Linked DNA regions of Anolis sagrei. The protein of the gene in region 1 interacts with the protein of each later gene in a pairwise test. Links are inferred from orthologs where the notes say so. Each region holds a gene or a part of one and is shown on either strand. Other genes may lie near its edges.

The links.
Region 2: the proteins of ZNRD2 (region 1) and CCT3 interact in binary tests that used the Homo sapiens proteins (3 or more experiments, as listed by UniProt). The two-hybrid records come from large-scale screens. The link is inferred for Anolis sagrei from reciprocal best matches to the Homo sapiens genes ZNRD2 and CCT3.

The regions. Positions count from the first base shown.
Region 1 is NC_090032.1:20,249,461-20,261,108, forward strand, and holds the start of ZNRD2 (protein ZNRD2), read right to left. Parts: upstream 5,465-11,648; 5' UTR 5,376-5,464; coding exon 5,357-5,375; intron 5,229-5,356; coding exon 5,077-5,228; intron 1,750-5,076; coding exon 1,665-1,749; intron 330-1,664; coding exon 1-329. UniProt on the Homo sapiens protein: Might play a role in mitosis. Antigenic molecule. Could be a centromere-associated protein. May induce anti-centromere antibodies.
Region 2 is NC_090032.1:21,239,870-21,251,387, forward strand, and holds the start of CCT3 (T-complex protein 1 subunit gamma), read left to right. Parts: upstream 1-6,146; 5' UTR 6,147-6,247; coding exon 6,248-6,278; intron 6,279-11,518. UniProt on the Homo sapiens protein: Component of the chaperonin-containing T-complex (TRiC), a molecular chaperone complex that assists the folding of actin, tubulin and other proteins upon ATP hydrolysis.

The DNA.
Region 1 (11,648 bases):
GGCCTCCACGGAGGCGCTGTGCCGCAGCTCCTGTCCCGCCCAGGCGATCTTCTGCAAGATGGCCTCCTCCGCCAGGGTCAGCGCACCGAGTGGGGCCGCCGGACAAGGCGCCGCCATCGTTGCCGCTGCCGCCGGGCCCGGGAGCAGCAACGGCGCAGGGGCCGAAGCCCGGAGTCCCGCAGCCGCTCCTTCGCAGTGCTCCGGGCGCGGGACGTGGCGCACGGGAAGTGCGGACAGGTATGCGGCAGCGGGGCAAACGTTGTTGTCCTCAGCGTTGGTGGCCAGTTGGCGCTCCCGCACTTGGGACAGGGCAGCCTGGGCATTCAGGGCTGGAAAGAGAAGCAGAACCGTCACGAGGGACACAAAATATAAGGGACATGTAATATAAAATATATACTTATCATATCATTATTATTATTAGTATTATACTGTATTACATTATAATATTATAAATATTATATGTATATACAATATATTATATTATATTTATTATATATTAGTATAGCACAGGAGACAAGTGAATAAATAAATACTGTATTACACTATAATATTATAAATATTATATGTATATACAATATATTTTACTATGTTATATTATATTTATTATATATTAGCATAGAACAGAAGACAAATGAATAAATACTGTATTACATTATAATATTACAAATATTATATGTATATACAATATATTATACTATATTATATTATATTTATTATATATTAGCATAGGACAGGAGACAAATGAATAAATAATTTTTTTGGGCTATATGGCCATGTTCTAGAAGCATTCTCTCCTGACGTTTCACCTGCATCTATGGCAAGCATCCTCAGAGGTCTGACCTCACAACCTCTGAGGATGCTTGCCACAGATCTAGTCAAAACAAGATCCATAGGTATAAAAATCCATGAATCAAGCACACAAATCCATGAAACAAGGCAGCATGAAAAATCCAATAGACAAATCAGGAGCTTGGCAACAACTTGATACATGAAACTAAGAGCACTTGAAAGCAAGACCGTGATGAAATTCCAACGTTGACCCAAATGAGGCAACTCTTTCCCATGAATCAATATAAAGTTTTTTTTCAAATCCCAAAACAGAAAGGAAAGCATTTCTCTTGACCTTACCACCAGATAAAGGTGAATTGGAAGGGACCCCAACGGGGAAAGGACACACCAGCCAAGTTGCCGACAGATGGCCATCCCCAAAGACACAAAGAATAAATCAATAAATCATAGAATTGGGACCCCAAGGGGGAAGGGAGACACCAGTCAAGCCCTCCCGACAGATGCCTATTCCCAAAGAAGCAAAGAATAAATCAATAAATCACCGTATTGGAAGAGAGACACCAGCCAAGCCCTCCCGACAGATGGCCATCCCCAAAAACACAAAGAATAAATCAATAAATCACAGTATTGGAAGGGAGACACCAGCCAAGCCCTCCCGACAGATGGCCATCCCCAAAGACACAAAGAATAAATCAATAAATCACAGTATTGGAAGGGAGACACCAGTCAAGCCCTCCCGACAGATGGCCATCCCCAAAGACGAAAAGAATAAATCAATAAATCACAGAATTGGAAGGGAGACACCAGCCAAACCCTCCTGACAGAGGATTACCCTGAAGACATAACGAAGATGTTAGCCAGTTCTTGAGCCTCACCCGGATTGTCCTTGTCGACGTCAGAGTTGAGTTCCTGGCAGGCGACGCAGTAGAGTTTCTTCTGCTTGTCTTGCAGCAAAATAGTCTGGAAGGGAAAATGTCGCAAAGGAGAGCCAAGGAAAGAAAGAGTTAGAGCTGGGAAATAAAGAACGCAACGCCTGCAAAAATCAGGACGGAAAAGAGGGGGAAAGGCCAAAGAGCTCTTACTTGCTTGGGAAGGTAAAAGAACATTCTGGACATGCTCAGCCCCCCCCCCCTTGTACCAAAAGGATCTGGCACTCTTTACATGTTCAGAGGCCCCTTTTGCAAGAAAAAGTCATGGAATTCTTTACACACAATATAATATAATATATTGTATATACATATAACATCTGTAATATAATGTAATGCAATATAAAACTAATAATAATACAGTATTATAATTATATATTTTATATTACATGCAATATTACTTATAATATTACAATATAATAGTATAGTACAATATAGTAATATATAGTACTGATATTGTGCTATGCTAATAATATAATCTATTGTATGTATAGATATCTTGTAAGCCGCTCTGAGAAGGGTGACATATAAATGTCATAAACACAGTATTGTAAAATAAATAAACACATGCTCAGAGGCCCACACTTGGAGCAATAAGGTCTTGGAACTTTTTACATGCTCAGAGGCACTCTTTGCAGCACTCTGGACATGCTCAAAGGCTCCATTTGCAGCAAAAGCTCATAGCACTCTTTACATGCTCAGAGGACCCTTTTCTGCAAATGGGCCTGCCACTCTGTCATACTCAGAGGCCCCTTTTGCAGCAAGTAGTCATGGAACTCTTGATATCCTCATAGGACACGTTTGCAGTGAAAGGGCTCGGCACTCTTTACATGCTCAGAGGCCCACATTTGGAGCAAAATGTCATGGAACCTTTTACATGCTCAGAGACCCCTTTTGCAGCAAGAGAGCCTGGCACTCTGGACATGCTCAAATGCTCCTTTTGCAGCAAAAGCTCATGACACTGGGTTGTTGTAGGTTTTCGGGGTATAGGGCCATGTTCTAGAAGCATTCTCTCCTGATGTTTCGCCTGGATCTATAGCAAGCATCCTGAGAGGCTGTGAGGCCTGGCACTCTTTGCATGCTCAGAGGCCCTCTTTGCAGCAAAAGTCTGGGACTCTGGACTTGCTCAAAGGCTCCCTTTGCAGCAACAGGACATGGCACTCTTTGCATGCTCAGAGGACCCTTTCCTACAAATGGGACTGCCACTCTGTCATGGAACTCTTTACATCCTCATAGGACACGGTTGTAGTGGAAGGGCTCAGCACTCTTTACATATTCAGAGGCCCACGTTTGGAGCAAAATGTCATGGAACTTTTTACATGCTCAGAGGCCCCTGTTGCTGCAAAAGGGCCTGCCACTATGATATACTCAGAGGCCCCCTTTGCAATAAAAGGTAACTGAATACTTTACATGCTCAGAGGCTCTCTTTGCAACAAGTCTGGCACTCTGGACATGCTCAAAGGCTCCTTTTGCAGCAACAGAGCATGGCACTCTTTACATGCTCAGAGGCCCTCTTTGCAGCAAAAAGTCATGGAACTCTTTACATCCTCATAGGGCAGGTTTGCAGCGAAAGGGCTCGGCACTCTTTATATGCTCAGAGGCCCATATTTGGAGCAAAAGTTTGTTGAACTTCTTACATGCTCAGGGGCCACATTTGGAGCAAAAGGGCCTGGCACTCTTTGCATGCTCAGAGGTCCACATTTGGAGCAAAAGCCTGTTGAACTTCTTACATGCTCAGGGGCCCCTTTTGCAGCAAGAAGGCCTGGCACTCTGGACATGCTCAGAGGCTCCTTTTGCAGCAACAGAGCATGGCACTCTTTACATGCTCAGAGGCCCACATTTGGAGCAAAAGATTGTTGAACTTTTTACATGCTCAGGGGCCACTTCTGCAGCAAGAAGGCCTGGCACTCTGGACATGCTCAAAGGCCCCTTTTGCAATGAAAGGGCTCGGCACTCTTTGCATGCTCAGAGGCCCACATTTGGAGCAAAATGTCATGGTAACTCTTTACATGCTCAGAAGCCTTCTCTGCAGCAAAAATCTGACACTCTGGACATGCTCAAAGGCCCTTTTTGCAGTGAGAAGACTTGTCACTCTTTACATTCTCAGAGGCCCACATTTGGAGCGAAAGGGCATGGCACTCTTTACATGCTCAGAGGCCCCCTTTGTACCAAAAGGATCTAGCACTCTTTACATGTTCAGAGGCCCCTTTGATGCAAAGGGGCCTGCCACTCTAATATGCTCAGGATGTAAAGGTAATTGAATTCTTTACTTGCTCAGAAGTTCTCCTTGCAGCACGTCTGGCACTCTGGGCATGCTCAAAGGCTTCTTTTGCAGCAACAGAGCATGGCACTCTTTACATGTTCAGAGGGCCCTTTGCAGCAAAAAGTCATGGAACTCTTTACATCCTCATAGGACATGTTTGCAGCGAAAGGGCTCGGCACTCTTTACATGCTCAGGGGCCACTTTTGCAGCAAGAAGGCCTGGCACTCTGGACATGCTCAAAGGCCCTTTTTGCAGTGAGACTTGTCACTCTGGACATGCTCAGAGGCCCACATTTGGAGCAAAAGATTGTGGAACTTCTTACATGCTCAGGGGCCATTTCTGCAGCAAGAAGGCCTGGCACTCTGGACATGCTCAGAGGCCCTTTTTTGCAGCGAGAAGACTTGTCACTCTTTACATGTTCAGAAGCCCACATTTGGAGCAAAATGTCATGGAACTTCTTACATGCTCAGAGACGCCTTTTGCAGCAAGAGGACCTGGCACTCTGGACATGCCCAGAGACCCTTTTTGCAGCAGGAAGACTTGTCACTCTTTACATGCTCAGAGGCCCACATTTGGAGCACAATGTCATGGAACTTCTTACATGCTCAGAGGCCTTTTTTGCAGCAAGAGGACCTGGCACTCTGGACATGCTCAGAGGCCCTTTTTGCAGCAGGAATACTTGTCACTCTTTACATGCTCAGAGGTCCACATTTGGAGCACAATGTCATGGAACTTCTTACATGCTCAGAGGCCTTTTTTGCAGCAAGAGGACCTGGCACTCTGGACATGCTCAGAGGCCCTTTTTGCAGCAGGAATACTTGTCACTCTTTACATGCTCAGAGGCCCACATTTGGAGCAAAAGATTGTGGAACATCTTACATGCTCAGAGGCTCCTTTTGCAGCAAGAGGACCTGGCACTCTGGACATGCTCAGAGGCCTCTTTTGCAGCAACAGAGCATGGCACTCTTGACATGCTCAGAGGCCCTTTTTGCAGCAGGAATACTTGTCACTCTTTACATGCTCAGAGGCCCACAATTGAAAGGCCCTGGCCCTCTTTGTATCCTCAGAGGAGCCCATTGCCCTGTGTTCGGCTCTCACCCCGCACTCCTCGCAGCACTCGCCCAGCATGCGGTAGCCCTTCAGGAGGTAGTCGCCCATCAGCTTGCTGATCTTGTCCTGCCGCTCCCGCCGGGCCTGGATCACCTTCAGCTCCGCCTCCGAGGGAGGCTCCCACTCCGCGTCGTCGTTGCCTGCGGGAGAAGCCATGGTTCATGGGCGGAAGGAAGGCCCTCCCTAGCCTCCTCACCACTTCCAAGCTGGCTCGCCAGGCCGGAGTAGGCCCCGTTGCCATGGTTACTCCTCTCTCCCTCTCACTTACCCGCCGCGTTGAGCGCCATGATGTTTCGCCCAGGCTGGACCACCCGCTTCCGGCTTAAGCCACGCCTCTTCCGCTGTCGTCACCTCATTGCCGGGCAAGGCTTTTTTATGTGGAGGTAGGTGCGACTCCTTAATCGTCCCCACCGGAAACCTCACCGCGAACATAAAGGTTCCGCTTGAATTTCGTTCCTATGCTCTAAATCAGCCCCATTGACCCCGAGAGCGGCGGAGGCTCCCGCCTTCAAATTGGTGTGAACCGCAGCGGAGAGTTCCGCAGTTCCTGGAGCCAAGTTTGGGACCAACTGATGAAATGTGCCCGGTGGCGCAGTGGGTTAAAGCGCTGAGCTGCTGAGCTTGTTGATCGAAAGGTCGCAGGTTCGATTCCGGGGAGCGGCGTGAGCTTCCGCTGTCAGCCCTAGCTTCTGCCAACCTAGCAGTTCGAAAACATGCAAATGTGAGTAGATCAATAGGTACCGCTCCGGCGGGAAGGTAACGGCGCTCCATGCAGTCATGCCGGCCACATGACCTTGGAGGTGTCTATGGACAACGCCGGCTCTTCGGCTTAGAAATGGAGATGAGCACCACATCCCAGAGTCAGACATGACTGGACTTAATGTCAGGGGACTACCTTTACCTTTTTATTGTTATTATTGCTTGTATTGTTGTGTTTGGGTTCGGCCTCATGTAAGCCGCACCGAGTCCCTTGGGGAGATGGTAGCGGGGTATAAATAAAGTGTTATTATTATTATTATTTTATATATTATAAATAAATTACACACACACACATATATAATATGTCTATTATATTATAATTTCTAATAATTTATATCATATATAATATACATATAAAATATATACTGTATATAAGTTTGTTGTTCATTCGTTCAGTCGTCTCCGACTCTTCGTGACCTCATGGACCAGCCCACGCCAGAGCTCCCTGTCGGCCGTCACCACCCCCAGCTCCTTCAATGTATATAAGTACATTCTATTAATATTATATTAAATGTATGAGCCCCCGGTGGCGCAGTGGGTTAAACCCCTGTGCCGGCAGGACTGAAGACCGACAGGTCGCAAGTTCGAATCTGGAGAGAGGCGGATGAGCTCCCTCTATCAGCTCCAGCTCCTCATGCAGGGACATGAGAGAAGCCTCCCACAAGGATGATAAAAACATCAAATCATCTGGGTGTCCCCTGGGCAACGTCCTTGCCAATTCTCTCACACCAGGAGTCACTCCTGACACGAGATATATATGTATGTATATATATAAAATGTATAATTTGTTGTTCATTTGTTCAGTCGTTTCCGACTCTTCATGACTTCGTGGACCAGCCCACGCCAGAGCTCCCCGTCGGTCGTCACCACCCCCAGCTCCTTCAAGGTCTAAATGTATAATATTATAAATGTGGCTGTGCGACCAGGAGGTTCTTCCACTCCAGGGGTAATCAATATATCCCCCTAGCTCTGCAAGTCTTCAAAGCAAAGGCGATGTCACAACTTCTCTATGGAGCACCCATCTGGTTAACCCCCAATAACAGCGCCATGAGATCTTTTCATTCGAAATTCCTCCACAAACTATATGGTGCCCCCAACTGTGTCCCGTATGCAGTTCTTTGTCTTGAATCTGGGCAATATTCTATTGAGGCTACTATCTGGCTAATCGTCATTAAATTTTGGCTATCTATACACTATCAAAGTCCCAGAGACTCTCTGACTCAACTCACCTTGAGCGAACTCCACCACTCCAAATGGTGCTCAACTGTCCTAGCAAAGATCGGGGAATTGGGCTACGACAGCGATTTCCTGACCCTACTATCTTTTCCCGAGATTTTTACCCTCATCAAAAGGAGGCTGCTAGATAGGGACCACAACCAATTGTTGAGCTTGGCAAACAAATCCTGCTCACCTATTAACTTGGCAATTCCATACACACAGGGAAATCCAGCCTTCTACATCACAGAGCTCACCAACCCCTCTTACAGAAGAGCCTACATGCTGGCTAGATTTAACATCATGCCATCGCCGCTCCATAGAGGAAGACTCAATGGCCTCCCGAGCGACAAGAGGGTCTGCCTCTGCAGCACAGGACAGCTAGACCCCATACCGCATATTCTCCTGCACTGTCCACTCTACCAGGAGCTAAGATCCAGTCTGCTAACACAAGTTTTAGACTCACTGAAGAACCGCAGCAATTCTGACAAAGTGATTTTGCTTTTAAATTGCCAGGACTTTAGCTGCTGCCTTTCAGTGGCAAGATTCCTGAATGAAGTCTGCAAACTGAATGTGTAGCAAACGAGAAGCCCTTTTTTATTATGTGTACTATTTTTTATACTCTCTGCCATGTTATGCCAATAAAGGCTTATTGTATTGTATTGTTGTATAATATTATAAATAAAACATGTCTATTATATTATAAATTCTAATAATCTATATCATATATGGTATAAATATATATCATACCATATCATATATGGTATAAATACATATAAAATATATACTGTATTGATATTATGATTGTTGTTCACTCGTTCAGTTGTCTCTGACTCTTCGTGACCTCATGGACCAGTCCACGCCAGAGCTCCCTGTCGGCCGTCACCACCCCCAGCTCCTTCAAGGTCAGTCCAGTCACTTCAAGGATGCCATCCATCCATCCATCCATATTATGATATATATAACAAATTATATTTGCATTTTAATATATTATAAATAATATATAGAATATCATAATATAGAATAAGGAGCCCCCGGCGGCGCAGTGGGTTAAACCCCTGTGCCGGCAGGACTCAAGACCGACAGGTTGCAGGTTCGAATCCGGAGAGAGGCGGATGAGCTCCCTCTATCAGCTCCAGCTCCTCATGCGGGGACATGAGAGAAGCCTCCCACAAGGATGAAAAAACATCAAAATCATCCAGACGTCCCCTGGGCAACGTCCTTGCAGACGGTCAATTCTCTCACACCAGAAGCGACTTCTGACACCACAAAATAATAATAATAATAATAATAATAATAATAATATAGAATAATAAACAAACTTCAAAACCATTGTCATTATTGTCATTTTATTTTTATTGACAAAAATAGTTCAAGAGCACGGTTTCCATTAGAATGTTACAAAGAGAACCAGGACAGTAAAACCAAAGAAAATAATGTGGCAAAGTCAAGGAAGGGAAAGAAAATCATCAAAATAGACTGCTGGAAAGTGACAAAGCATGTCAAGAGGTTGGACTGGATGGCCTTTGGGGTCTTTTCCACCTCTAGTCGTGTACACAACTTTCTGATTTCCTTGGAAACAGCCCATTTTAGTTTGTTTTGTGTTATAAGATACTGAAACATGTTCATTTCCCAGAGATCTTAAAAAGAGGCTGCAAACAAATACGGGAGTGATATGACTTGGCTGTCAGCCCTAGCTTCTGTCAACCTAGCAGTTCGAAAACATGCAAATGTGAGTAGATCAATAGGTACCGCTCCGGCGGGAAGGTAACGGCGCTGCATGCAGTCATGCTGGCCACATGACCTTGGAGGTGTCTACGGACAACGCTGGCTCTTCGGCTTAGAAATGGAGATGAGCACCACACCCCAGAGTCAGACATGACTGGACTTAATGTCAGGGGACTACCTTTACCTTTACCTATGACTTGGCAGTCCCACCTACTTGCAAGGAAGGAATTGCGGTTGGCCAGACAGCCAAGACAACTGGCAGGCGTATTGGTCAATCACATTGCAGGAAAATGGGGAAAAAGGCGGAGCAACAAAGAAGAGGGAAGGAAGTGACTTGGTTTGTTGTCATTTCTGGTAAGACCATCCTGTATGACTCCCCACTCCCTTCTGGCAGGTGGGATGTCACCATCAAAACCCTCCCGACAAACGGCCATCCAGCCTCTGCTGACGGCATCTCTTTTCCTAAACTTTTGAGTCTCTTGCAGTGTCCTGGGCCTCAACTATTTCTCAAATCATAGAATCCTAGAGTTGGAAGAGACCTCCTGGGCCATCCAGTCCAACCCCATTCTGCCAAGAAGCAGGAAAATTGCATTCAAAGCACCCCCGACAGATGGCCATCCAGCCTCTGCTTCAAAGCCTCAACCACTCTCCAGGGCTGAGAGTTCCACTGCTGAACAGCTCTCACACTCAGGAAGTTCTTCCTAATGTTCAGATGGAATCTCCTTTCTTGGAGTTTGAAGCCATTGCTCCATTGTGTCCTAGTCTACAAGTTGCTCCCTCCTCCCTGTGGCTTCCTCTCACATATTTATACATGGCTATCATGTCCCCTCTCAGCCTTCTCTTCCTCAGGCTAAACATGCCCAGCTCTTTAAGCCGCTCCTCATAGGGCTTGTTCTCCAGATACTGGATCATTTGAGTCGCCCTCCTCTGGACACATTCCAGCTTGTCAATCTCTCTCTTGAATAGTGGTGCCCAGAATTGGACACAATATTCCAGGTGTGGTCGAACCAAGGCAGAATAGAGCATGGGGAGCATGACTTCCCTGGATCTAGACACTAGACTCCTATTGACGCAGGCCAAAATCCCATTGGCTTTTTTTGCCGGCGCATTACATTGTTGGCTCAACGTGGAATCAATCAGTCTGGCCTCTCTGTGGATAGTTCCTGGAGGCTTTGAAGGACGCCTGCTGCATCAACATGCTACCCCCATCCCCAACATACATACCTATATATGTATATATACACACACGGGTGCAGAACATTAAAACACTGAGCTGCACAACTTGGTGGGACTAGGTTGGTGGTTTGACTCTAGGGAGCGGGGTGAGCTTCCGCTGTTAGGCCCAGCTTCTGCCAATGTAGCAGTCCAAAAACATGCAAATATGAGTAGATGAATAGGTATTGCCTTGGCAGGAAGGTAATGGCACTCTAGATGCATCATAAGCGGGGTTCAATGTGTTCTCTGGCTGTAGGGTAAGCTACAACTCCCACAAAGGAAGGTCAGTTCCACCCAAACCCCTCTAGGAATCTAATTTTGGCATATGGTCCAGATCCATCGGTGATTTCTGGATGTAGGTAAACTACAACTCCCCCAAATCATGGCCACATGGATGTGAAGCAGAGGCTGGATGGCCAGCGGGGTGAGCTCCCACTGTTAGCCCCAGCTTCTGCCAACCTAGCAGTTTGAAAACATGCAAATGTGAGTAGATCAATAGGTACTGCTCAGGCAGGAATGGTGCTCCAAGCAGTCATGCTGGTCACATTACCCTGGAGGTGTCTATGGACAATGCCGGCTCTTCAAAGTAGAAATGGAGATGAGCACTAACCTTCAGAGTACTCCAGAGTAGGACACAACTGGACTTAATGTCAGGGGAAAACCTTTACCTTTTATACACATACATTATATATATATATATATATATATATAGAGAGAGAGAGAGAGAGAGAGAGAGAGAGAGAGGTTGCTTACCTGTAACCGTAGTTTCCTGAGTGGTCACCTGTGAATTTGCACATATGGTAGTTTCTGCGCCTACCATATGTGCGTATTCACAGTTGACCACGATGGGAATGCACACACATTATCCAAGGATATATATAAAAATATTATATTTGTATGCGTGTGTTGGGGGGGGGGTTGCATGATTGCCAACCTAGCAGTTTGAAAACATGCAAATGTGAGTAGATCAATAGGTACTGCTCAGGCAGGAATCGTGCTCCAAGCAGTCATGCTGGTCACATTACCCTGGAGGTGTCTATGGACAATGCCGGCTCTTCAAAATAGAAATGGAGATGAGCACCAACCTTCAGAGTACTCCAGAGTAGGACACAACTGGACTTAATGTCAGGGGAAAACCTTTACCTTTTATACACACACATTATATATATATATATATATATATATATATAGAGAGAGAGAGAGAGAGAGAGAGAGAGAGAGAGAGGTTGCTTACCTGTAACCGTAGTTTCCTGAGTGGTCACCTGTGAATTTGCACATATGGTAGTTTCTGCGCCTACCATATGTGCGTATTCACAGTTGACCACGATGGGAATGCACACACATTATCCAAGGATATATATAAAAATATTATATTTGTATGCGTGTGTTGGGGGGGGGGGGGTTGCATGATTACACTCACTCACAAGATAGAGAGGATGTGTATATAATATATTTGTATTATCCCAGGAAAGAAGGCAAAAGTGCTACAACCCTCTCCAGGGAGCCGATATCTTGAGAGTCCGCACTGGTTCACCCCTCCACATCTTTACCCCATCTGACATTCGAGTTGAAGAATAAAGTTGCCACGGTTACACAACCCCACCCCATTGTGTGTCCTGGGGGTTTTGGCGGATACAGGGTAC
Region 2 (11,518 bases), about 990 kb from region 1:
AACAACTCCCCTTTGATTTGAACCGGAGGGAGAGGCTTATGTTTCTTATTTAGGGTCAAGCCGGTCTTCCGGGATCTTTCCGGTTTCATACTGTCAGAGATAAATAAATAGTAAAAATTAGAACACTCCTCCTAAGGATGCAACCTAGCATCGCATTGGCCTTTTTAGCTACACTGTAAGGGATCACGGGTTTAGGGTGCGGGGTCCCTTTTCTAAGAAATCCAGAGTCCAATAGGTTCAGGTAAGACACCGTTTATTCAAGCTGATCAGCATGAGGCGAACAGACAGCACCTTTGTAAGTGCACCCACAGACTGCTGCGCCCCTCCTTGGCTATTTGCAAACCTTTATACCATCATGTAAACAAGAATATTTTTGTCATGGAAAGTACTTTGACCTTTGCTCTTCCTGTCCCATCAACCTCTTGATGGAAAGTACCTTCTTGTACCTGCAGACTTTGCGCTTAACCACAAACCAACTTCCTATGTAAGCTTGAACTTTGTATGACCTCTATATGTCACCTCTTGTTTTTTAAAACATTTTCTTTTGTGCTGCTCCTTTTCTACAGGGAAGGGGTACATTGCTCTTCCTATCCCATCAACCTCTTGATGGAAAGTACCTTCTCACACCTGCAGACTTTGCACTTAACCACAAACCAACTTCCTATGTAAGCTTGAACTTTGTATGACCTCTACATGTCACCTCTTGTTTTTTAAAACATTTTCCTTCATGCTGTTCCTTTTCTACAGGGAAGGGGTACATTGCTCTTCCTGTCCCATCAACCTCTTGATGGAAAGTACCTTCTCACACTTGCAGACTTTGCACTTAACCACAAACCAACTTCCTATGTAAGCTTGAACTTTGTATAACCTCTACATGTCACCTCTTGTTTTTTTAAAATATTTTCCTTCGTGCTGCTCCTTTTCTACAGGGAAGGGGTACATTGCTCTTCCTGTCCCATCAACCTCTTGATGGAGAGTACCTTCTCACACCTGCAGACTTTGCACTTAACCACAAACCAACTTCCTATGTAAGCTTGAACTTTGTACGACCTCTACATGTCACCTCTTGTTTTTTTTAAACATTTTCCTTCATGCTGCTCCTTTTCTACAGGGAAGGGGTATATTGCTCTTCCTGTCCCATCAGCCTCTTGATGGAAAGTTCCTTCTCACACATGCAGATTTTGCGCTTAACCACAAACCAACTTCCCATTTAAGTTTGAACTTTATATGACCTGTACATGTCACCTCTTGTTTTTTTAAAATATTTTCCATCGTGCTGCTCCTTTTCTACAGGGAAGGGGTACATTGCTCTTCCTGTCCCATCAACCTCTTGATGGAGAGTACCTTCTCACACCTGCAGACTTTGTGCTTAACCACAAACCAACTTCCTATGTAAGCTTGAACTTTGTATGACCTCTACATGTCACCTCTTGTTTTTTAAAACATTTTCCTTCGTGCTGCTCCTTTTCTACAGGGAAGGGGTATATTGCTCTTCCTGTCCCATCAGCCTCTTGATGGAGAGTACCTTCTCACACCTGCAGACTTTGCACTTAACCACAAACCAACTTCCTATGTAAGCTTGAACTTTGTATAACCTCTACATGTCACCTCCTGTTTTTTTAAAAACATTTTCTTTTGTGTTGCTCCTTTTCTACAGGGAAAGGGTACACAGTGGATCTGGCCACAGTGGTCCACACTCTTGTTACATCCCGAATAGATTACTGCAACGCACTCTACATGGGGTTGTTTTTGAAGACTGTTCAGAAACTTCAATTAGTCCAGCGGGAGGCAGCCAGATTACTCACCGGAGCATCATACAGGGAGCATACCATCCCTCTGTTATGTCAGCTCCACTGGCTGCCAATCCAGTTCCGAGCACAATTCAAAGTGCTGGTTTTGACCTACAAAACCCTATACGGTTCCGGCCCAGTGTATCTGTCCGAACGCATCTCCCTTTACGACTCGGAGTTTAAGATCTTCTGGTGAGGCCCTGCTCTCAGCCCCGCCTCTATCACAAGTGAGACTGTCGGGGACGAGGAGCAGGACCTTCTCGGTGGTGGCCCCTCACCTGTGGAATTCACTCCCCGGGGAAATTAGATCATCGACAACCCTCCTTTCCTTTAGAAGGAAACTAAAAACGTGGATTTGGGACCAGGCGTTTGGGCAATCCGGCAGATAAATAAAAGACGATGACGACTGATAGGAATGGACAAGGTGGAACTAATTTATGGACTCTGAGTTGGCGAACGTTGAGCATGAGATTGATTTTTTATTGATTGTGAATATAATTGTTTTTAACTGTTATAATTGTTTTAATTGTTGTTTATATATGTTTATCTGTATTATTGTGTAGGCATCAAATTGTGCCTTTTGTAAGCCGCCCTGAGTCCCCCCTCGGGGGTTGAGAAGGGCGGGGTAGAAATATGTGAAATAAATAAATAAATATACATTGCTCTTCCTGTCCCATCAACTTCTTGATGAAAAGTACCTTCTCGCACCTGCAGACTTTGCGCTTAACCACAAACCAACTTCCCATTTAAGCTTGAACTTTGTATTCATTTGGGGATTGTAGTTGCTGGGATTTATAGTTCACCTAAAATCAAAGAGCATTCTGAACTCCACTAACGATAGAATTGAACCAAGCTTGGTACACAGAACTCTCATGACCAACAAAAAATACTGGGTTTGGTGGCCATTGACCTTGAGTTTGGGAGTCGTAGTTCACCTACATCCAGAGACTCAAACGATGATAGATCTGGACCAAACTTGGCACAAATAATCAATATGATCAAATGTGAACACTGGTGGAGTTTGGGGGAAAACAGACCTTGACATTTGGGGATTGTAGTTGCTGGGATTTATAGTTCACCTAAAATCAAAGAGCATTCTGAACTCCATCAATGATAGAATTGAACCAATCTTGGCACACAAAACTCCCATGAGCAACGGAAAATACTGGAAGGGTTTCGTGGGCTTTGACCTTGAGTTTTGGATTTGTAGTTCACCTACATCCAGAGAGCACTGTGGACTCAAACAATAATGGATCTGGTGGAGGAAACACATGTCCCTGAAAGAAAGCCTTCCCTTGGGTGGTGGGCAGTGTTGGTGGAGGACATCGACAGGGCTGTTGGACCTGTTTACACTGTGATGTCTATGGTGGAGGGAACACATACAATCTAGGATGGAATCGTCCCCGAATGAAAGCCTTCCCTTGGGTGGTGGGCAGTCCGGTGTTGGTGGAGGACATTGGCAGGGCTCTTGGACCTGTTTACACTGTGATGTCTCTGGTGGAGGAAACACATACAATCTAGGATGGAATTTTCCCGGTGTGAAAGCCTTCCCTTGGGTGGTGGGCAGTCCAGTGTTGGTGGAGGACATTGGCAGGGCTCTTGGACATGTTTACACTGTGGTGTCTGTGGTGGAGGAAACACATACAATCTAGGATGGAATTGTCCCCGAAGGAAAGCCTTCCCTTGGGTGGTGGGCAGTCTGGTGTTGGTGGGGGACATTGGCAGGGCTCTTGGACATGTTCATGGTGCTCGCTATGACCTGCAATGTCACTGGAGGGAGGGCTTTTGTTGTCTCCTGAGTAGTGGGAACTATAGCTCTTTGTGGAGGCAGGAGCTTGTCTGTGTAAGTGGGCACCCCAGTCACATATATATTTTCACTTTTATTATGTGTACTGATAAGTCATAGTCCAAACTGCCTGGGTCAGGCCATTGAGTCATTGAAGAGTCATAGGTTGTAATAATTGAAATCTGTGATATTTGTTTAACTATATTTACTAATAATAATTTATGTGATATTTGGGTTGTTGTAAGTTTTTCGGGTTGTCTGACCCTGTTCCAGAAGCATTCTCTCCTGACGTTTCGCCTGGATCCATGGCAGGTTGTGTCTGTATATTCTGCAATAACAATTTAAGTGCCCAAGTTGGCCCATGCCTGGTCTAGGTAAAGGTTTTCCCCTGACATTAAGTCCCGTCGGGACCGACTATGCGACTTTGGTGCTCATCTCCATTTCTAAACCGAAGAGTTGGCACTATCCGTAGACACCTCCAAGGTCATGTGGCCAGCATGATTGCATGGAGCGCTGTTACCTTCCCGTCGGAGCAATATCTATTGATCTACTCACATGTGCATGCTTTCAAACTACTAGGTTGGCAGAAGCTGGGGCTAACAGCAGAAGCTCACCCCGCAACCCAGATTCGAATCATCAACCTTTCAGTCAGCAAGTTCAGCAGGTCAGCACTTTAACCCACTGCTCCACTGGGGGCTCCTAATATTATTATTCTTACTATTATTATTATATTTCTTACCTGCTCCCCCCTAAGGCTTCAAACTATTAGTAGTAGCAGTATTAATGATATTACTTTATTATTATTATATTTCTTACCTATTCCTCCCTAAGGCTTCAAACTATTAGTAGTAGTAGTATTAATAATATTACTTTATTATTATTATTATATTTCTTACCTGCTCCTCCCTAAAGCTTCAGGCTATTAGTAGTAGTATTAATGATATTTATTATTATTACCATTTTCTTATTATATTTCTTACCTGCTCCTCCCTAAGGCTTCAGGCTATTATTATTATTATTTTATTATTATTAATATTATTATTATAATCTAACCCACTGTGCCACCGGGGGCTTCACAGCTGGTCTACACAGCTATATAATCTAGTTCAAACCTGGATTTTACTCCATGGCAGTGTGGAATCCAGATTATCTGCTCTGAACTGGATTATCTGGCAGTGCAGACTCACATAACCCAGTTCAGAGCAGATTATGTGGAGGATGTGCTCTGATAACCTGGATTCAATGGCAGGGTTCAAGAGGCCTGCTAGGAACTGCCTCCCTTCAACCAAAGCAGGCTCAGGAGGGCCGCAAACTACAGCTCCCATCATGCCCCGCGCGGAAGGGGCGTGGCCTAGGCCTGGGCATGACTCAGCCGCCATTGAGACTCCAACGGACAGGAGACACGGAGGACTACAAATCCCATCTGGCCAATGGGGTGCCAAATGTTGTCTCTGGGGGGTTTCTCCCCCAAAAAACTCGCCTCTGGGGGAACGCCGGGCCGGAGGGCGTGAAGGCTCCATCTAGCAACCGCTGACTAAAACCGCGCAGGCGCATTAGCAACGCTTTCCCTTCTGCGCAGGCGCATTAGCCGCCCTTTCTCTGCGAAAACTAGCCACTCTTTCCCTTCTGCGCAGGCGCATTAGCAACTCTTTCTCTTCTGCGCAGGCGCATTATAAGCCTTTTGTTGCCGCTTAAACTACTTAGCAGTCCTTTCCCTTCTGCGCAGGCGCATTAGCAGCCTTTTCACTTCCGTGTAGGCTATTTAGCAGCCATTTCCCTTCCGCGCAGGCGCATTAGGAACTCTTTTCCTTCTGCGCAGGCGTATTAGCAACTCTTTAGCTCCTGCATAGTCTACTTAGCAGCCTTTTCCCTTCTGCGCAGGCGCATTAGCAACTCTTTTGCTTCTGCTTAAACCTTAGCCGCCCTTTCTCTTCTGCGCAAGCGCATTAGAAGCCTTTTCATTTCTGCGTAAGCTACTTAGCAGCGCTTTCCCTTCTGCGCAGGCGCATTAGCAACTCTTTCTCTTACGCGCAGCCGCATTAGAAATCTTTTGTTTCTGCTTAAGCTACTTAGCCGCCCTTTCCCTTCTGCGCAGGCGCAATAGCAGCCTTTTGGCTTCAGTGTAGGCTACTTAGCAGCCCTTTCCCTTCTGCGCAGGCGCATTAGCAGCCCTGTCGCTTCAGTGTAGGCTTAGCAGCTCTTTCCCTTCTGCGCAGGCGCATTAGCAGCCTTTTCGCTTCAGTGTATACTACTTAGCAGCCCTTTCCTTTCTGCGCAGGCGCATTAGCAGCCCTGTCGCTTCAGTGTAGGCTTAGCAGCTCTTTCCCTTCTGCGCAGGCGCATTAGCAGCCTTGCGTTTTTCCTTCCCCGTCTCCTCAACGCATGCGCATGTGTGGAAGAGGACTCCGCGCACGCGCATTACTCCCCCTCCCTTCATTCTTCACAACCGTGCGGCCCGTTGTCCCTCTCAACCTACCATGCTGGGGAAGTAGGCGTGGCCGTTATGAGGAGACGCGTTTTCCTATTGGCGCAGAGCCGGAGAGAGAGGCCTCTGATTGGCGGAGTGCCCCAGCGGGCGAGTTAGGCTGCGCGGGGCGCGGTGAAACGGCGCTTTCCCGTCCCCTCCTCCTTTCTTTCCTCCAGAAGGTTCCGCGGCGACGTGAGGGAAAAGATGCTGGGCCAGCGCCCCGTCCTGGTGCTCAGTAAGTCCGGGGAAACCGAGGAGGGAGGAAGGAGGGAAGAAAACCCCCTCGGGGGGCTATTTTCCCCTGACGCGTGTCTTCTTTTGCACGTGTGAATGCCTCTTTAAGCCGGGCAGGGGCCTCCCAATGGGCCTGGCGGGGTTTCCTCACCCAGGAGGGCCTCAAGCTCTGTTCTGCTCCATTCTTGCTCCAAATTATGGCCCAGATCTGTAGTTCTGCTTTGTCAGTCTCCCACCCAAGATACTCGCCAGGGCTGGCCCTGCTTAGCAGCCAAGATCAGGCAGGATTGGGTGCTTTGGGGGGCAGTTGAGGAGAGAGAAGGTGTTACAACAGCAAAACAACAAAGGCTAAACAATCAGGCACATCTAATCGCCTCTCAACAAAAGATTCCCCCAGGCACTTCCAAGCAATTAAATGCTAATTAATTTGTGGGTGAACTATAATTCCCAAACCCTTCCAGTTTTTTCTGTTGGCCATGGGAGCCCTGTGTGCTAAGTTTGGCCCAATTCCATCGTTGGTGGAGTTCAGAATGCTCTTTGATTGTAAGTGAACTATAAATCCCAGCAACTACAACTCCCAAATCTCAAGATTCTATTTTCCCCAAACTCCACCAGTGTTCACATTTGGGCATATTGAGTATTCTTGTACAGTTTGGTCCAGATCCATCATTGTTCGAGTCCACAGTGATCTCTGGATGTAGGTGAACTACAACTCCCAAACTCAACGTGAATGCCCACCAAACCCTTCCAGTATTTTCTTGGTCATGGGAGAACTGTGTGCCAAGTTTGGCCCAATTCCATCGTTGGTGGAGTTCAGAATGCTCTTTGATTGTAGGTAAACTATAAATCCCAGCAACGACAATTCCCAAATGACAGAATCATTTTTTTTGAGTGAAAGACATACATTGGGTTATAGCAGGTATCTTGTGTCCAAATTTGGTGTCAATTCATCCAGTGGTTTTTGAGATTTGTTAATCCCACAAATGAACATTACATTTTTATTTATATAGATTGCACTATACCATTATATTGTAATATTATTAATAATGTTACATGTAATGTAAACATATAATTATAATTATAATATTGTATTATTATTACTAGTATTATATTGCATTACATTATAATATTATAAATATTATATATATACACACACACACACAATATACTATATTATTTGTAGCCAGCTTTTGTTCATTTTCATGGTTTCCTCCTTTCTGTTGAAATTTAAAATATTACAAAAAACTCTAAAATTACAACAGCAAAACAACAGAGAGTAAACAATCAGGCACATCGAATCACCTCTCAACAAAAGATTCCTCCAGGCACTTCCAAGCCATTAAATGCTAATCAAGGTGGTCAGTTGAAACACATAGCTCCAGCAGACAAGAGTCCTTTGTCCCACCCTGGTCATTCCACAAATATATAAACCCTTTTTCCTAGTTCCAACAGACCTCACTACCTCTGAGGATGCTTGCCATAGATGCAGGCGAAACGTCAGGGGAGAATGCCTCTAGACCATGGCCATACAACCCGGAAAAACCCACAACAACCCAGACATCTAATCACCTCTCAACAAAAGGTTGCCCCAGGCACTTCCAAGCCATTAAGCGACTAAAATGATAAAAGGTCTGGAGAACAAGCCCTATGAGGAGCGGCTCAAGGAGCTGGGCATGTTTAGCCTGAAGAAGAGAAGGCTGAGAGGAGATATGATGATAGCCATGTATAAATATGTGAGAGGAAGCCACAGGGAGGAGGAGGGAGCAAGCTTGTTTACTGCTTCCCTGGAGATTAGGACAAGGAACAATGGCTTCAAACTCCAAGAGAGGAGATTCCATCTGAACATGAGGAAGAACTTCCTGACTGTGAGAGCCGTTCAGCAGTGGAACTCTCTGCCCCGGAGTGTGGTGGAGGCTCCTTCTTTGGAAGCTTTTAAGCAGAGGCTGGATGGCCATCTGTCAGGGGTGATTTGAATGCAATATTCCTGCTTCTTGGCAGAATGGGGTTGGACTGGATGGCCCATGAGGTCTCTTCCAACTCTTTGATTCTATGATTCTATGATTAAATGCTAATCAAGGTGGTCAGTTGAAACATTCCCACCTAGCTCCAGCAGACAAGAGTCCTTTGTCCCACCCTGGTCATTCCACAGATATATAAACCCCTTTTCCTACTTCCAACAGACCTCACAACCTCTGAGGATGCTTGCCATAGATGTAGGTGAAAGGTCAGGAGAGAATGCCTCTAGACCATGGCCATACAGCCCGGAAAAACCTACAACAACCCAGACATCTAATCACCTCTTAACAAAAGATTTCCCCAGGCACTGCCAATCCTTTCCTGGTGATTCAAATATAATAATATATTGAATATACATGTCATATTGATACTATTATAGTGTGACACAATATACTACTACAATAATAAAATGATATTATAATCATATTTTTATATTAAATGTAATATTGCTAATAATAATAACAACAGTATAATGTTATAGTACAATGTAATATATAATATTGTGCTATGATAATAATAAAAATAATAATATATTATTATCGAAGGCTTGTTTTGTCGAAGGCTTTCATGGCCAGAATCACTGGGTTGTTGTAGGTTTTTTCGGGCTATATGGCCATGTTCCAGAGGCATTCTCTCCTGACGTTTCGCCTGCATCTATGGCAAGCATCCTCAGAGGTCGTGAGGTCTGTTGGAACTAGTAAAGTGGGTTTATATATCTGTGGAATGGCCAGGGTGGGACAAAGGACTCTTGTCTGCTGGAGCTAGGTGTGAATGTTTCAACTAACCACATTGATTAGCATTTGGTGGCCTGGCAGTGCCTGGGGAAATCTTTTGTTGAGAGGTGATTAGATGTCTGGGTTGTTGTAGGTTTTTCTGGGCTATATGGCCATGGTCTAGAGAGGCATTCTCTCCTGACGTTTTGCCTGCATCTATGGCAAGCATCCTCAGAGGTAGTGAGGTCTGTTGGAACTAGGAAAAAAAGGGGTTTATATATCTGTGGAATGACCAGGGTGGGACAAAGGACTCTTGTCTGCTGGAGCTAGGTGTGAATGTTTCAACTGACCACCTTGATTAGCATTTGATGGCCCGGCAGTGCCTGGGGAAATCTTTTGTTGAGAGGTGATTAGATGTATGGGTTGTTGTAGGTTTTTCTGGGCTGTATGGCCATGTTCTAGAGGCATTCCCTCCTGACGTTTCGCCTGCATCTATGGCAAGCATCCTCAGAGGTAGTGAGGTCTGTTGGAAGTAGGAAAATGGGTTTATATATCTGTGGAATGACTGGGGTGGGACAAAGGACTCTTGTCTGCTGGAGCTAGGTGTGTATGTTTCAACTGACCACCTTGATTAGCATTTGATGGCTTGGCAGTGCCTGGAGCAATTTTTTGTTGAGAGATGATTCGATGTGCCTGATTGTTTACTCTCTTGTAATTTTAGAGTTTTTTAATATTTTAAATTTCAACAGAAAGGAGGAAACCATGAAAATGAACAAAATCTGGCTACCAATATTAAAAAAACTAAAATTACAACAAATTGGGACATGATGCAGGGAATGGTTGGTATTTCTATAAAACACATATTAAAATACACAAAACAAAATACACGTTTTCCTACGTCTTTCCCTGCTCATATTTATTTACATTTATTAAATAGTCCAGTGTATTTTCGGTTGTCTTTGTTCCACTTCTCTATTGTCCGGCGTCTTGTCTACATCATTAAATAACCTGGTGCGCTTTCCAGAATTAATACAGGTTTTGTATGTTGTTTTCCCTTTCTATGCCTTTTGCTAAATGGAAGTTTTGATTTTGCATATCCAAAAAGGGTTTTTGTTCTATTCTTCCTCAAGTTCTATTCTTCTTTCTTGTCGTGCCTCCCTTCCATTCATAAAGGCAGAATCAGAGGGAGATTTGAATGGATTTGTGGGAGGAGAGAAAGAGCAGAGGAAATGGCCTAATATGGATGTCAGATTCCTCAAGTGGAACAACACATGTTTGTGACAGATAAAGATGTGAGTCAGGAAGATTTTACACAAGCAAAGTGTCATTTTTTTTTGAAGGACGGTGGAGTCCTTCAAGTTAAACTTTCTTTGCAAGCATAAATATTAAGATAAGTAAGGCAAGGGCTCAGTTTCCCATAGAGCAGTGGTTCATCAACCTGTGGGTCCCCAGATGTCTTGGCCTTCGACTCCCAGAAATCTGGTGAACTGTATTGCCGAAGGCTCTCATGGCTGGAATCACTAGGTTCTTGTGGGTTTTTTCGGGCTATAGGGCCATGTTCCAGAGGCATTCTCTCCTGACGTTTCGCCTGCATCTATGGCAAGCATCCTCAGAGGTAGTGAGGTCTGTTGGAATTAGGACAATGGGTTTATATATCTGTGGAATGGCTGGGGTGGGGCAAAGAGGGACAGGGCCTTCTCTGTGGTGGCCCCTCGGCTGTGGGATGCCCTTCCCATGGACATTAGATCAGCCCCTTCCCTAATGGTGTTTCGAAGAAAACAAAAACCTGGCTGTTTGAACAGGCGTTCGGATAAATAGTGCAATGAACACGATGAATATAGGAAACGGAATTATGGATGACAAATTGGATCACGATTTTAGTTACGAGATGTTAATGTGTTGTTATTGAGATGTCATTAGTTTGTATTTTATACTGTTAATGGTTTTAATATTGTATGTTGTTGGACTGACTTTTGCTCTTGTTGTGAACCGCGTTGGGTCGCCTACGGGCTGAGAAACTGCGGTATACAAGCAAAGTAAATAAATAAATAAATGAAGAGCTCTTCTCTGCTGGAGCTGGGTGTGAATGTTTCAACTGACCACCTTCATTAGCATTTGAAGGCCTGGCTGAGCCTGGGAAAATCTTTTGTTGAGAGGTGTTAAGATGCGCCTGGTTGTTTCCTCTCTGCTGTTTTGCTGTTGTAATTTTAGAGTTTTTTAATACTGGTAGCCAACTGAAGGTGGTCAGTTGAATGAAACATTCACACCTAGCTCCAGCAGAGAAGAGCTCTTTGCCCCACCCCAGCCATTCCACAGATATATAAACCCATTGTCCTACTTCCAACAGACCTCACTACGTCTGAGGACGCTTGCCATAGATGCAGGCGAAACGTCAGGAGAAATGCCTCTAGACCAGTGGTTCTCAACCTTCCTAATACCGCGACCCCTTAATCCAGTCCCTCATGTTGTGGTGACCCCCAACCATAACATTATTTTTGTTGCTACTTCATTA